Linked DNA regions of Notamacropus eugenii. The protein of the gene in region 1 purifies or fractionates together with the protein of each later gene. This does not show direct contact. Links are inferred from orthologs where the notes say so. Each region holds a gene or a part of one and is shown in the gene's direction. Other genes may lie near its edges.

Evidence for each region. The genes of interacting proteins can lie anywhere in the genome.
Region 2: the proteins of USP15 (region 1) and RNF40 purify together in Homo sapiens (affinity purification with mass spectrometry; 4 studies listed by BioGRID and IntAct, with this or other methods). This does not show direct contact. The link is inferred for Notamacropus eugenii from reciprocal best matches to the Homo sapiens genes USP15 and RNF40.

Annotation. Positions count from the first base shown.
Region 1 is NC_092874.1:239,034,104-239,041,999, forward strand, and holds the start of USP15 (ubiquitin carboxyl-terminal hydrolase 15), read left to right. Parts: upstream 1-4,882; 5' UTR 4,883-4,993; coding exon 4,994-5,082; intron 5,083-7,896. UniProt on the Homo sapiens protein: Hydrolase that removes conjugated ubiquitin from target proteins and regulates various pathways such as the TGF-beta receptor signaling, NF-kappa-B and RNF41/NRDP1-PRKN pathways.
Region 2 is NC_092874.1:377,895,234-377,903,137, reverse strand, and holds the start of RNF40 (E3 ubiquitin-protein ligase BRE1B), read left to right. Parts: upstream 1-4,886; 5' UTR 4,887-5,018; intron 5,019-5,119; 5' UTR 5,120-5,344; intron 5,345-5,429; exon of another isoform or gene 5,430-5,470; 5' UTR 5,471-5,472; coding exon 5,473-5,604; intron 5,605-6,430; coding exon 6,431-6,598; intron 6,599-6,865; coding exon 6,866-7,007; intron 7,008-7,268; coding exon 7,269-7,475; intron 7,476-7,678; coding exon 7,679-7,800; intron 7,801-7,888; coding exon 7,889-7,904. Other genes in the region: PHKG2 (phosphorylase b kinase gamma catalytic chain, liver/testis isoform), read left to right, coding at 64-217, 313-438, 652-936; CFAP119 (cilia- and flagella-associated protein 119), read right to left, coding at 1,330-1,526, 1,839-1,922, 2,012-2,072, 2,186-2,302, 2,506-2,576, 3,382-3,551, 3,770-3,835, 4,109-4,140 and 1 more.

The DNA of each region.
Region 1 (7,896 bases):
TTTCAACATCTTCATGGGCTATTTGCCTTTCTTTTCATCTCATAAGAATTATTGGGGGGAGAAGGGAGGACGCGGAGTTAGGTGGCATAGCAAACAGGCATATAGGTGATTCAGTGGATAAAATACTTGACCTGGAGTCAGACGACCTGAATTCAAATCTGGCCTCAGACACTTAACTGTGTGACTCTGGGCAAATCACTTAATCCTGTTTGCTTCAGTTTCTTCATCTATAAAATGAGCCGAAGAAGGAAATGACAAACCTTCTAGTCGTAATAATAGTAGCAGTAACAGTAGCTGCAACAATAGCCAGCATTTATATAGTATTTTGGGGATTTGCAAAACACTTTATATATGGTATCTCGTTTATTCCAGTTAAACAATTGCTGAATAAATGAATACTGTTGCCAGAATAATCTTGCTTAGGAGTAGAACTACTTAAATCATTTCACTGATCAAAAATCTTCAGTGGCTCCCTATTCCTACAAGTTTAAGTTTAAAATCTTTTTGATTCAAAGCTCTTTCCAATTTGATATCACTCTGTCCTTCCAACTTTTATACTATCCATAAGCCATCAATGTCAAACTCATGAAACCAAATATAAGGCCGCATATTGCCTTACAAAACCACATATTAACATTATCAATATTCTATTGTATTTTTATTTTGTTAAATATTTCCCAGTTACATTTTAACCTGTGGGTAGGCCTCCTTACTAACACCTCTGTTCTAAATTTAGACCCAATTGGATTACTTTCCTCTCTCACACTCTCCCCTACACTTTTCCTTTCCCTACCCTTCCCTCAAGCCATTTCCTCTCTATAGGATCATAGAGCTGAGTCCAACTCCCCCATTTTACAAATGAGGAAATTCAACCCCAGAAAGGTTAAGTGATTTGTGCAAGGTCATACAGGTAGTAAGAATTACAGCTAGCATCCAAATTCAGGTCTGGTGACTCCAAAATCAGTGGTCTTTACACTGCATCATACATCCCTTGGGTGAAAGTTCACCTCATCCAGGTGATCTGAACTCACTGAGGCCTGCCAAATATGATCTTATCCATCTTGGTTCTAGACTCTCTACTAATAGGTTTTGATCTATTTTTCCAAGTCTGAAGATAATTTTTATTGGTACAGAAAACAGAAGAAAAATATAAATGTTTCTGCTTTTTCTCCAGTGTCCAACATCATATTTTGTTGTCTTATTTAATTCAATTCAATTCTATTAACATGTATTAAGTGCCTAATATATACAAGGCACAGTGCTACGTACCAGGCCATATGAAGAAGGAAATACCTAACATTTACAAGAGTATTTTTAATACACATTGCATATGAAGTTCACTACACATTTCATACACATTGCCCCATTTGACCCTTACAGCAACCTCATGAGGCAGGTAACACAAATGTAACATGGATTATGCAGAATGAGAACAGATATTTTCTGCATGCCTCTAGTTGACCCTGTGGTGCTTTGCAGCTGCTTGTGGCCTTAGGTTGACCCTTTGGTAAAAGCACTTGGTGATATTCTGTGGCATGGAATGGTCCTCCCCACCTGATAGAGTGAACAATTCAGATGCCACTGTCTCATCTTGATCTCATAAAATCACCTGTTCTAAGAAGGAAACACAAGAGAGGCAGGGGCTGCCAGAGGCCCAGGAGCAAACTCACGTAGTTGGGTCCTCCAAGCACCAGCTTCCATGTTGTTGGGATCACCATGTTGGTAGGGAGTAGATGACCTTGTCCTTTCCCCACCCCGCAGTGGAGTTACACCTTGACCCATCATGGTCAAAGATGGACAATCTAGAAGCTATTTCTTTTAACAGATGTTGCACCTCAATCCCTTGCTATTTTGGAGAAGGAGTAGAAGACAAAAGGACCACTCAGGGTTTTCCACATCATACCAAAACAGCAAGTTCTTTCAGCAATGAGTCAATACATCTGGAAATAGTCCCAAAGTGGGCCAATCAAAACTAGACACAGAATATCTGGCCATGCTTTGTGCAACTCACCTTATATAGGTATTTCTATTTTGGATATGAAGAAAGAGGTCATATGATCATAGATTTAAAGCTGGAAAGGACCTTTGTGTATACCACATTTTACAGATAAGAAAACTCAGGATCAAAGGGAGGCAGTGGCTTGCCCAAGGTCATGAAAGTAGTAAATGTCAGAACTGAGATTTGAAGTGAAGTCCTCAGGTTCCCAGTTTAAAGTCTGGCTAAGTGATTTATCCTTGGGGATTTGAACACATTTCTCTTGACTCTCAAGTCCGTATGCTTACCACTACTCCAAGCTGTCTTTGTAAGAACCTTTTCCCAAGTACCTCACATAATATTTCATTTTATACTTTTCAAATGTACTTAATGTAGAATATAATGAATTGTAAGTATCTCAGTCTGTATAATCCCCATATGAAACCACTCCAGAGCATCAAAGACCATTTTTAATATAAACTTTGTTATCTCCCCCAGTAGCTAGACCAGCACTATGAACACAATAGGTGTTTACTAAAAGTTTGTTGATCCAGTGAACAAATGTTGTCATTGGTGACCATAAAAAAGCAAACAAAAAAAATTCTAGAATCTCACTTCACTTTACATATTTCCTAGAGCTGACAAATAGTGGGGACATCATTCTTTGAAGAGGTCAACAGTTAAAACTGTTAGTTTATTTTACTTTTTTCTTTTTGCTACTGAGTCACTTGGGGACCTACTTACTTTTCTAGTATCTAAATTAAAGACTAGAAAGTGCTTTTATGCTCTCAAATCAGAGGTAGCTCAATGGGGAAAATTCCCATTATTAGGTAAGAAGTGAGGTCACTGAGCAAAAAAAAAAAAAAGATAAGATTTCATCAGTGTGGATATAACCACTCTCCAGTCCCATAGACCCCAACCATCTAATATATTTAAAAGAATTTCATGAGTTGCTGGAGCAAAAGAAAAAGTATCCCTTGGTGACCAATCCTTTTTTGATGAGCTTCTCCAAACTTAGCTGAGCTGTTTCTCAGATGACATCTAGTCAATCTGGCCCATCCACACTTAAAAGCTTTTCTGGCTTGGTCTGAAACCTGCCAAATTTTACGTTAAGAAGTATAGAATTTTTAATGGAAGAAACTAATATTCTGGATCTTCTACAATCAAATGTTTCACTAAAATTATGTTATTAACCTTGCTTAGCCATATCCCTGAAAAATATTTAAAAAACAATATAGCCTTTATTTACAGATAGTGAAACTAGGGTAATCACTTTGCTATTTATCAGTATCAACTTGACCCTATAACCAAGGCAACATATTGGATGGTCTGATTGCTTCATCTTACTGTAAAGGGGATTCTCTCGGAGTAGTTTTATAAAATTCCATTTAGCAAAGCCCTTGGATTTTTTTTTAAGGATGCAATTGTGTTCTATTCCCACCCTGGATCTTTTGCTAAAATAGCTGAATTTACTTGGATTTCAATTAGCCAAATCCTCAGATCTAATGATTTTTAAAATCTTTTTTAATTATTCGATAATGGGTATACTCTCCACTGACATGAGGGTAAATGCGGGTTTCTTTTATTACCTTTAAAATCTGCGCAAAATTTATTGTAGGTCAAACGTTTCATTCGCAAGGAAGCAGCCAAATGCTTTCTATAGCTGTTTGGGGTCTACTTGGGGGGAACGAGAGGATGGATATATCATTTAAAGGAATCCTATTACCGTCCCTACATAGCACACAAGTTGGTGCCAGTAGGAAGGTAGAGGGAGAGAGTTGAAGAGCGACCAGTTCCGGCATTATGGTCAAGGGTTTTAATTTCCAATGCTCTTTTGCTCCAGCTGGGTTTCAAGTAGCTTAGGCAAAGAGTATTTGCGATACAAACCCATGAGTCAAGAAGCTAATGAAATTGTCATGCAATATTTTAGCTGCTCTTCTGCCTGCACAGGTACAGATATGTACACACACACACACACACACACACACACACACACACACACACACTACAGCCAAAGTTGTCAGGTAAATAAAGTTTCGCGTACATCTGGCCATCTGTGTGCGCATACGTACATACACAATTCCAATTAAGCTAGAGTTGTCATGTTTCGCACGCATCGGTCATTGGCGTGGGTATACACACATATGCAGACAACTGCTATTAAGTTAGAGCTGTCATGTTTGCCATACATCTGTCCACTGGCTCCGTACACTCATAGACACACACGCACCCTTTCAAGGCAGTCATTTCACACACATCTGGCTACTGGCGTGCATACACACCACACATTCACACAACCCCTATTAAAGTCACGTATCCTGCACATCTGGCCACTGGCGCGCATACACATACGAGCACACACAAAACCCCTATTAACTCAGAGTTGTCATGTTTCACACACATCTGGCCACTGGCACGAGTACAAACACATACGTACATACAATTTCTATGAGCCAAAGTTGTCATGTTTTGCACACACCTGGCCACAGACACGCGCAGGCGCACACACACATACATACACACCCTATTACGTTAGAGTTGTCATGAAAATAAGGTTTCGCGCACATCTGGTCCCTGGAGAGAGAAGGGAGGGAAGACACCGGCGCCGAAAGCGAGGAGGATCGGGCGGTACTGGGCCACGAATAAAACGAGAGTGCAGGGGCTCCCAGTGGCGGACCGCGGAGAGGCAGCATTTACGCACTGGGAAGAGCCAATGAAGTTCAAGGTGGTGGTGCTGTCGCTGCTGCCCTCGGCACTGGCCGTTAGGGGGCAGCAAAGGACGCCCGCGCGCTCCCCGGCCAAGCTCTCCTCCGCCTCCTCCCTCCCCCTCCTATCCTCCCCTCCCCCATTACGTCTCTCTAGGTTGCCGACCCGGCGGCGGGGCGGGGCCGCGGGACGCCGTGTTCCCACAATGCTCCGGGGCGGTGCCGCCGCCGCCGCTGCCGCCGCCGCTGCTGCCGCCGGTACCGCCGCCGCTGCCGCCGTCGCCGCCTCCTCCGCTGCCGCTAGTGGAAGAAGATGGCGGAGGGAGGAGCGGCGGATCTGGACACCCAGCAGTCCGACATCGCTACGCTGCTCAAAACCTCGCTCCGGAAAGGGGACACCTGGTGAGGGGGACGGGGCGGGGCGGGGACTGAGGCGCCCGCGGCTGCTGGGGGGGAGCCGGGCGGGAAGCGCCGGGGCTGGTGTCTTTGCTGAGTGACAGGTGCGGGGGGCGGGGGGCAGGTCAGATCGGGGACCGTGGAGCGCTGGTGGGGGGGTGGCGGGGAGGTCAGAGGGTAGGCTGGAGGTGTGAGGTCGCGAGGGGGGGTGGGGGCTGCTGCTGCCTGCGTCCCGCCCTCCCGAGCCGCTCCCAGCCTCGGGCCCTCATCCGGTGAGACCCTGCGGAGGACAGGGAAGGGGCGTGGGTGGACAGGTCCCATCCGGCCCGGATCCGGAGCTTCTCTTCCTTTCTTTCCGTCGTTTCCTCCCCTTGGACCGACCGCCAAGTTTGCCTGTCTGGTGAGCCTCGCATCCTTCCGGGCCGGACAGGCTGCAGGCCGCACAGGTGGCATGGGTCGGGGCTCCGCCGGAGGGGAAGGAGCCCCTAGTTTCCCGGTCCTTGTCAGAGGAGTAGTGCGGAGTCGGGATCGTGGAGGCCCCACGTGGTCTCGGGCTTCCCAGGGAGCTTGTCATGCAGCAGGAGCAGCGGTGAAGGGGGGTGGGGGGGGCGTTCGCTTTGAATTTCAGCCCGTACCTTCCTGACTCAGGGGATAAGAGAGCCCTGCAAAAAAAAGATAAGTCCGTGGGAGATGAACTCACTTGCTGATGGTATGGGTAAAGCTCTAGAGTTAGATTACTTAAGAACCCAACTAAGGTAGGCAGGTGATTCCATCCCAAGGAGTGGAATTTTTCATATCCCCAAACAGTCAATCAGTTGGTAAGCATTTATTGAGCTCCTGCTGTGGTTCGACGTACTGTACTAAGTGCTGGAGCAAACGAAATAACATTTATCTGCTAAATAAGCTAAAAGTGTAAATGTGGCTATGTGTAAGAAGGGTTGCTTTATTTAGTCAGTAATCATAACTATAGGTACCATTTATATACCAAGGACGTCAGGCATTGTACTAAGCACGTTACAATTATTATCTTACTGGAACTTCATAACAACCCTGGGAGGAAGGTGCTGTTACTATTCCCATTTTACAGATGAGGGAACTCCGACAGACGGGTTAAGGACCCAGATAGGAAGTATCTGAGGGCAGACTCGAATTCAGGTCTTGCTGAGTAATCCAGGAAGCCCTTATAAACTTTAATAGCCAGTTGTGTTCCAGGCACATCGATAAGCATTACATGCAGGAAAAGACGATCTAAATTCAAGGAGCTAGTGTACAAAAGCTTTTTTTTCTGATTGATTTTTATTTAAAGTTTGAAGAAAATTAAGCATTAATGTCAAAGCCTGTCTTGACTTATGGTTGGATTTGTATCCTCAGTCCTTAGCACATAGTGAGTGCTTTTTAAAAAATGCTTATTGCCTGCCTTCTGGAAGTCATTATTTTGTAGGGCTGAGTGAATGATTTTGTTTTCCTCAGTTGCTGTAGTTTCTTCTCAGTAGCTTCTGCAGAGTGCCAAGAGCCTGGGTTAGGTGCCTAATAAATGTTTATTGGCTGACCAGCTGTGTACTTTAATGGGGCATGTACCTTCAACATTTAAATGAATTGTGAGATTACAACAAAGAAGAAGCAAGTTTTAATGCCTCTTAGTAATCTCTATAGTTCATCTTCTTGTGTGAAGTTTACCGATCATTGGAGAAATAGAGCATATCTGGATTACTCAGGTTTAACCTTGGCGCAATGGTTCTTTCAGTATGTGGTCAGTAATTGTCCTACTGTGTGTTAAAGAAGACATTGCCTTATAATGAAAATTTAGGCTTTGAAACAGAAGCTAGTGTATCAAGGTTTGAAATTTTACCTCAGCTTTTTTAGTAATGTCATTTAATGATAAAATCTAGTAGAGACCAAAGATCAACCTAGCTAAGCTCACAGAGGCTTCTTGCCAGATTGGCCAAGTGTGATGAATTTTTGCTACAGCAATTCATGAAGCCAATTTCTGAACTCATGAAGGAATTGCAGTCTTTGATTGGTAGAAGAAACATGTACACAAATGAAAGTGCAGGTGCTTTAATACTGTAGTCAGAAATCTATGACACTTATTAGGAGCAGTATACCTATTGTCATGCATGTGCCCATTTTTATTTAAAGGTTATAATTGTTAAGCTTTTGCTTTATGATAAAGTTACTGAGAACATTTTCTCCTTATATATAGAGGTTTAGAATAGGAAAGAATTTTAGAGATCATGTAGTCCAACTCCTTTTATATTACCACTGAGGAATGTGAGGCCAAGATGTGGTATTAGAGGTAAATTCGATCATGCAGTAAATGAATTGCATCATTTTTCACTTTTAATTAAAGAAAAGCAAAAAGGGGCTGAAATTGTATATGTTGTGGTAGATATTGGGAGACCTGACTGATTTATAAATGGGGGCTATATTCTAACTGTAGTCTAGCAGAGGAAATCTGGCCAAGTACTGAAAAAAGAGTTTTGCTTTTTTTTAATGATAATGTAGTAGTATTAATCAGTTTTTGTTTTTAAATTGAAATGTAACATGGTTCATTGTTTTTAAATTAAAGTGATATTTTTCTTTTAAACAGTTCAAATCTTGCCTCAGAAGCTAGCTGTTGACCCTAAATGGATCACTTAACCTCTCTCAGCCTTAATTTCCTCTTCTGTAAAATGAGGATAATAATAGCACCTGGCTTACAGAGTTATTTTGAGGATCAAATGAGATAACATATTATATAGCACTTTTCAAACCCCTGATTAAGGTTTCCTATGGGGGGGGGAGATCTTGTCTACAGGTTTGTAGACAAAAGGGTCCATT
Region 2 (7,904 bases), about 140 Mb from region 1:
TGGTCTTTTCTCTCCCATTTCATTCCCCATCCCCATCTGAACCTGGTGGTCTTCCCTTCACAGCTGGGCCTGTGGGGTGATCCTGTTCACACTCCTGGCTGGCTCTCCCCCATTCTGGCATCGACGCCAGATCCTGATGCTAAGAATGATAATGGAGGGCCGATACCAGTTCAGGTCACCAGAATGGGATGACCGATCAGCAACTGTCAAAGACCTGGTGAGTAAATCAAAGGCTCAAAGGGGTGGGGGAAATGCAGTAGTAGTTCAGGAGTCAGGAGAAGAAGTGTCTCATGGCCCCTACCCCTCTCTTAGATCTCAAGGCTACTCCAGGTGGATCCTGAGGAAAGACTGACTGCAGAGCAGGCCCTGCAGCATCCCTTCTTCCAACGCTGTGAGGGTAGCCAGGCCTGGAGCCTTTCTCCCATCCAGCGATTCAGGGTAAGGAACAGAGAGCAGATATTACAAGACAGAGGTTCCTGGGAAAACAAAACCCACTACTACCACACATCTACCTCACTTTACCCTTCCCTTGGACCTAGGTGATAAGAGATGACATTGTTTTCGCTGGGACTCAACTATCTTCAGAAATCTCAACTCATACTTTTAGTGTGTCCGTGATCTTGTTTTTCTTGTGGTTTTCTTTCCTCTCAGGTAGCAGTATGGACAGTGTTGGCTGCAGGCCGAGTAGCCCTGAGCAGTCGCAGGGTAAGGCCAATGAGCAAGGGAGCTCTATTAGGAGACCCATATGGGCTCCGACCAGTGAGGCAACTCATTGACAGTTGTGCCTTCCGCCTCTATGGACACTGGGTAAAGAAGGGCGAGCAACAGAACAGGGCTGCCCTCTTCCAACACCGGCCTCCTGGCCCATACCTGGGCTACAATCCAGAAGAGGAGGGAGATCCAACCAACACTGACGATGAATCTGTTGTTGCGTAGTTAAGACCTCCATCGTGGAGCCCCCAGAAGTCTGCTTCCCAGCCCGAGAGCCTTGGGAAGGACAGATTTCCCAATCTGAGAGCTTCAATCAACTCGGTCACCTTGGACTCTGGCCGAAGGCATTCTTCCCTTCTCTTGTGCTCTCTGATGATGATGCTACTGGAAAGGGGACCAACTCTGTGCCCCCATCCCTGTTGCTCAGGACTACAGGACTTGAATGGAAGGAAAAGGGACCAGCTGAGAATGATATTCACATCTTTGCTGTTGCTGTCCATTTTTCATGTGAAATAAATCATCCTGCACACTGGGAAACAAGCTGTGTCTCAAGATGGAGTGAGAAGGTGCTCAAAAGGGGACCTGGGGGAAGGAACAGGGTACTTCTGGCCCAGGCTTTTATTTGGGTAAATACCCCAGGGGTGACTTGGCTTTGCTTTTACTCTTGGAGACCAAGGTAGGATTCTCAAGGGCAACCAGCCTGCTATTGAGCTGCTCCTCGCCAGCCTTCAGCCGTTCCTCCACCAACTGCCTGAGCTGTCCTAGCTCATGGGTAAGCTGGGCTGTGATGAAATCCCGGAGTATATCGCCTGGACCTGGGGTTGTTGAAAAAGTGGTTCAAACTTGAGCCAAAGGAACCTTTTACATAAGAGAACCTCAGTCCCACATTGTGAGGAGAGAGGATTCATGCATGGTGTATCACAGTGCCTTATCAGGGAATGTCATGAGAGGTAGGAAATACACTGTTCTCAATTCAGTATTCTCAATTTAGTCCTTAAGGAGCTCCCTTTGGCTAGAAGGAAGCCCACCTAGAAAGAATGGGAGCAGAAGACATTTTTTTCTACAGGATAAGACAGAACAGTTTCCCAGGGAGGGCTTAGGGAAACAGGTGCCCCTTGATTGCTTACTTGGCTCTTGCTCGGTTTTTATTTCTGGTTCTGGCTCTTCGGGAACAGGTAACACCGTCTCCACTACCTTTTCTTCCTCTTGTACTGAAAGATGAAAGGGAGTGGAGCCATGAGCCCCATGGCATACTTCCCAACCCTCTTCCCAGGCCTAGTTTAATCTCCACCCTTCTTACCATCTGCTGGGGGCTTTACTTCAGGCAGACCTATATATCGCAAAGACAAGTCTAACCGCACCTGGGAGAGCAGAGGGAGTTCGAGAGGAGGGAGAGAGGAATGACAACTATGTTAAGATAGAGAAATGAGAAGGAATAGACTGGAAAGTTTCGTGTATCCTGTGGGACCAGTACCTGGGGGGTGAAGACATACTTGTAGAGCTTAAAATGACGGAAGTAGGTGTTGATGATATAATCTGATAGACTCAGCAGCTGTTCCTCTCCAAATAGGTCAATGCTGAAGGGGGGCCGCTGTGGGAAAGGGTAGGAATATATAGCTTGGTTCTTTTTCTTACAGAACCTTCAGAACAAAGAAAGGAAGAAAGTACTATAGCTTTGGCCTCCTAGGACTTGAGGTAGTTAAGGAAGGAAATAAAAAATTCTACAGGATGGAGCATTGGATGGGGATGTTTTAAATTCTTCAGAGTCCTCATTTCCTCTGTATTGGGACTGACCCTGACTCCATGGCAGAAGAGGAGGCTGGTGAAAAATCGGAAACAGTCTTCCACGTTGCCCAAGGGAGTTGCTGTGGAGAAGGAGAAATGAGTGACAGTGATAACTCCCTTAATCATGTGGAAAGAAAGGAATAAAATGACCTAGGTTATAGGAATAAGGACTGGGCCTCTTAACTCTTAATGATAGATGGAACTCTGGAATGAGGTAACCCCCTGTTTATGCAAGATGGCACTTTCTCTGCAACTTCTTAAAAGAGTTGCCTAGAAACTGAGAAGTTAGAATTTAGGTTACTTGTTCAGTGTCGGTCTGTATCAGAGGTAACTCTTGAACCCAGGGCTTCTTGGTTCCAAGGCTATTATATTTCTATTCGCTACTACCTGTCACTGTCACCTGGAATAAATGAGATTTCTCTCTGTCCGCCCCCCTCCCCAGCCCATTTGCTCTTCTACAAAAGGTTGAAGTAAAATTCTTGAGATCCCTCCCAATATTCTACTGTTAACCATGTTCATAAGTCAAATCAAACAAGCATTAAGTGTCTACTATGTGCCAGGCACCGTGGCACCGAGGAGCACAAAAACAGTCTCTACCCTCAAGAAGCTCGCAACCTAATGGAGACAACATGTACAGAATGATAGCTACAGGATAAATAAGAGACACGGCTTCTGGGGTTACTAGCTCATTTCACTGCTGCACCGGGACAGCCTCACCCTCGCCCTTACTACTACTACAGTTGCTCAGCCAGGACCAAGCAAGCACTATTTGGTGCTCATCACTGACCTTGCCTACCTCAGGCTCTCCCCTCCCACCCACCTTTCTCAGCCTGGATGTGACGAATCCTTGCAAGGCCCTTCTCCCAGGGGGTCTCACCAACTCACCAACACAGGCCTTGTGGAGGTCCTGAAGCAGAGCGCAAGCTGCTGAGGTCTGCTCCTGAGAAAAACGCTGTTGCCGGCAGAAGATCAAGGTGTGGCAAAACATATCCAGTAGCACTGCCTCCCTTGGGCTCCTGTCTGTCAGCCCCAGGCCTAGCAGTTCTGCCAGCAACCTTGGGGTGGATTAAGGTGAGGGTAGAGAGCAACCAGTTGAGGAGTAAAAGATCCTTTTCAGTCACCCCATCCTGTATTCCTAGGAAAGTATCTTTCCTCCTCCTGTGAGCGCCCTCCCTCCCTGTTTTCCTCATCCATTCAAAGAAACAGATTATTGGGGTGGGGAGGACCTCTGAAGTAATCTATTTCTGAACCCTCTTATTCACTTAGCCCGTACTCCTGCATCTCTTCCAAGGTGGTGGTTTTCTCCAGTAGGTCCATAGAATGTACATCCAGGTATTTCCTGCCATTGGAAAAGAAAAAAAGGGAGGTAGTTGGAAGGTAGCTAGGAAGAGGAATCCACCATGTGCCAGTTGGATTGAGAGTCAAGAGCCCTAGTCCTAAATTTTATCAGCTTTCTGCTTGGCCCTCTCAGGGCCTTTTCCTTATCTGAAAAATGAAGCCGCTGGACTAGGAGAATCCTAAGGCCCATTCCCTGCTGACCCCACGCTGCTCACACCCCTACCCACACCTAGCCCAGCCCCACCCGCAGGCCCAGGCCCAGCCCCGAGCTCACCACAAGCAGATCCGGGGCTCAGGAAGTGGCGGCTGCGAAGAAAGAGGGTTGTGTGACAACGCTGCTACGTTAGCGGCCTGGGGATCTCCGCTCTCGGGTGGCTCGGTTAGGCCGCCCGGGCGCGAGAGCTCCCCTGCGGTTCACAGGCCGCCCCACCTTCCCAGGGACGCGGCGGGAAGTGCACGGAGGACATGGGTCCTTTCTGCGGTTCTTCGCAAAGACTGGGCTGAAGTCCTAAAGGCCGACCCGACCCGCTCCCCGGGATCCCAGGAGGGGGGTACCGCCCCCGGGAAAGCTCAGGTAATACACCTCCGGCTGGGCCTCCGGGAGAAACAAGCGCGCTCCGCCCTCACCGGCAGCAGGTTGGCGCCCGGCTCCTCGGGGCTCTCTCTTTCAGGTTCCGGCTCGGGCTCTCCATTTGGCTCTCTCTCCATCTCCAAATTCAGTTCTGCTTCCTGGTTCAGATCCGGGGCCGCGTCCGGCAACCCCTCAGAATTCGGGTCCAACCCCAATCCCGGTTCAGAATTTAGTTCGGAAACTCCGCTAGATTTTCTTCGTTTCATCGTGCCACCCGCTGTTCCTCCGCCTTGTATGCCTTCGGGCCTAAGCTACGGGTCCGAGCATGGAGGCCCTGCCCTCTGTGGGAACATGTCAGCCAATCGAGATCAAGACATAGTCTTGTTCAGCCAATCCGTGGGAAGCGTCGTTGCTGGGGTCAGTGGTTGCTAAGGCGGCTCGAGGGCGGGGGTAAAGGCGTGACAAGCGGGAAGAGCGGACCAATAAATGAGGAAATGCTGCGCAAGCGCAGTATCTTCCGCCGCGAATATGAGCGGTCTCCTCACTACTACCAATAAAGAGGAGGGTGGAGTTACCGGGACAGGGGCAAGGCGGCATGGAGACGGTTGCCATGGTACGTGGTCGTTTCACCAATCAAGGAGAAGAGGATGGGCTGCTGGGTAAGAAAGCGTTCCGGAGGCAGGAGGCGGTTCTAAATGAGTCTCTGACCAATAGGAGAAGAAAGCAGACAAATTTAGCTACGTGCCCTCCCACTCGTCGGCGCCTGCGCGCTTTGGAGGCATTCGATGCGACATCCGGTGACGTACATCATGGCGGCGTTCGGCCGAACCTGGGACAGGTGAGGGGTCTCCTGAGACCGTCGGGGGCCAGGACCGGAGGAAGGAGGCCGCCGGCCACCTGGGCAGCTGCCTGGAGAAACTGAATCCTCCCTGGGAGGAGGTAGGTAGGAAGGAGCCGGGAAGGAGCCGGGCCTCCCCGCCCCCACTGGGATCCTGAGCCTCCCCGGGCCCCGCCTCTCCCTCAGGTGAAGGGGGAGCCGCCTCTGGTCGCCCTCCTCCTTTCCAGCCATGTCTGGGGCCGGCAACAAGCGCGCAGCCGGGGATGGGGGCTCGGGCCCCTCGGAGAAGAAGCAGAATCGGGAGGAGAAGACCACGACCACCCTTATCGAGCCCATCCGCCTGGGAGGCATCTCCTCCACGGTCAGTGCGGCCCCTCCCCCCTGCTGCGCACCCTTACCCCGCTTCCCACGCCTCACCCCCGCCATCCCCCCCAGACCCACTGTATTTGGAACCCTGACCGTGGCCAAGTCAGTTATGTGCCCTCGGAGCTTCAGGGTGCTCTGTAAAGCGAGGTTAACTCACAAGGAAAGCCCCCGCGTTGTCCTCATTTAGGTAATTGGACCTATCCAAGTCTGATCTCATCCTCCCGAGAAGAGATCACAGTCTGTCTACCCGTCTCTCATCTTTTCCAGTTCTTGTCTCTGACTTTATGTAAACGTTCTGCGGGGAAACCTGCCCAAAACACTGAAGGTCTGCTTGTTCCTTGAGTGTTTGGGGAGAGCCACTGTGGCACTCCAGCTGTCCCTCTGTTATCCTTCCAACCCAGTAGAGACTCACTCACTTTTATGGCTAGATGTTTTTTGTTGATATGTTTTCACTAATATTTTTAATGCTTTGTTGATAGAAGGCTAGACTTTGAGTCAGGAAGACATGGTTCAGAATCTCGCCTCTGATACAAGTCACAATTTCTCTAGCCTCACTTTCCCCTTGTGGGAAATTTGTAATGCCCACTTTGCAAGACTGTTACGTAGTTTAAAAGATCATATGTAAAGCACTTTACAAACTGTCGGGTGCTGTTTAAATTCGGTTGTCAATATTAGGGGCCCCCTTGTTAGAAGTTACAATGAGATTTTGACTCACCATACTTTCTATGGGGCCTTGCTTTCCATTTCTCTTTTTCTTAACATTTTATTACAGCCTTTCTCACTTTTTTCTTATGTTCTTTTACTCACTCTGCCTTCTACAGGAGGAGATGGACCTGAAAGTGCTACAGTTCAAGAACAAAAAGTTGGCAGAGCGACTGGAACAACGACAGGCGTGTGAAGATGAATTGAGGGAGCGAATTGAAAAGCTAGAAAAGCGCCAGGCCACCGATGATGCTACATTGCTCATTGTCAACCGCTATTGGGCCCAGGTATGTCTCCATCAACCATGATTCCTGCCTTTTTGCCTAAGTTTAGCTAGTCCAGAACCCTAGAATCAATCCCCTTCCCTCTTCTAGGCTATGCGTCTTCATTTTCTTGTTCCTTCTACCTCAGACCCTGCGCCAGTCCCCAGTTTTTTCTTCCTTGAAATCTTTTTAAACTTCTGCTTCAGAGTTTTCATCGTCCCCCTTTGGGGAAAGGTATTTTTGCCATTGAAGCCTCCAGAAAAGTCATGTTCTCTTGTGACACCCTCACAGCTGGATGAAACTGTAGAGGTTCTACTCCGACGGCATGAGGGACGAGGAGAATTACTATCTAGGATAGAGGAACCAGGAGCTCAAGATGGCACTGAACTTGATGGGACCCCTCTGCCTGAACCAGGAACCACAGACAGAAGAGGTGAGACCAGCAGGGGAGAGATAGTGAAAAATTGTGGAGAAAGTGATAAGCAGAGTGGAGACTGTACAGGTTTTAAAGTGACATATAAATGTTAGTTATCAATAAAAAGCCCATTTGTTAGGAGTTATGGTAGGGTTTTGATTCACCTCACTACACTTTCTGCAAGATCCTGCTTCTCATTTCTCCTTTTCATTATTGCTCTTCACACCCTATTGCATACCCATGTCAAATATAACAATCTTATTTGGATCTCTGTTTCAGATCTTCCCACCCTCCAGCTTCGGCCCCCCCTGAGCGAGCCAGCTTTGGCTTTTGTGGCAGCCCTGGGGGCCAGCAGTAGCGAAGAGGTAGAACTTCAGCTCCAGGGCCGAATGGAGTTCTCCAAGGCAGCAGTGTCCAGAGTAGTTGAGGCCTCAGACCGACTGCATCGTCGAGTAGAAGAACTGTGCCATCGAGTCCACAGCAGAGGTGAACCCAGGAGCACTCAGCCCCTTCCCTGTTCAGAACTGAGGCATATCAGCTTTTATTTGACTGCAGATGCCCATAGCAGACCTATTTATTACACATGTTCCCCAGTTCCTTCTAGGAACCTTTAGTTTGTCATGTAATTTCCTGCTGCTAGCTTTTTCTTCTGGTTGCCATTGTCCTCTCATTGGTCCCTACCTTTCCAGGGGAGTGTGAGTCCCTCGGAGAAGGACTTAGAGCTTTAACCAGGGAACTTGGACAAGACAACAGGCGACTACAGGACTTGACCACCCAACTGCAGGAAAAGCACCACCGAATCTCTCTGGAAGTAAGACTGCTGACATGGGGCACTTGGATGAATGTGGGAAGGAGATAAGAGAACACTCAGCCCACCCCTTGCTACTTCACCTCCACAGTACTCAGAACTCCAAG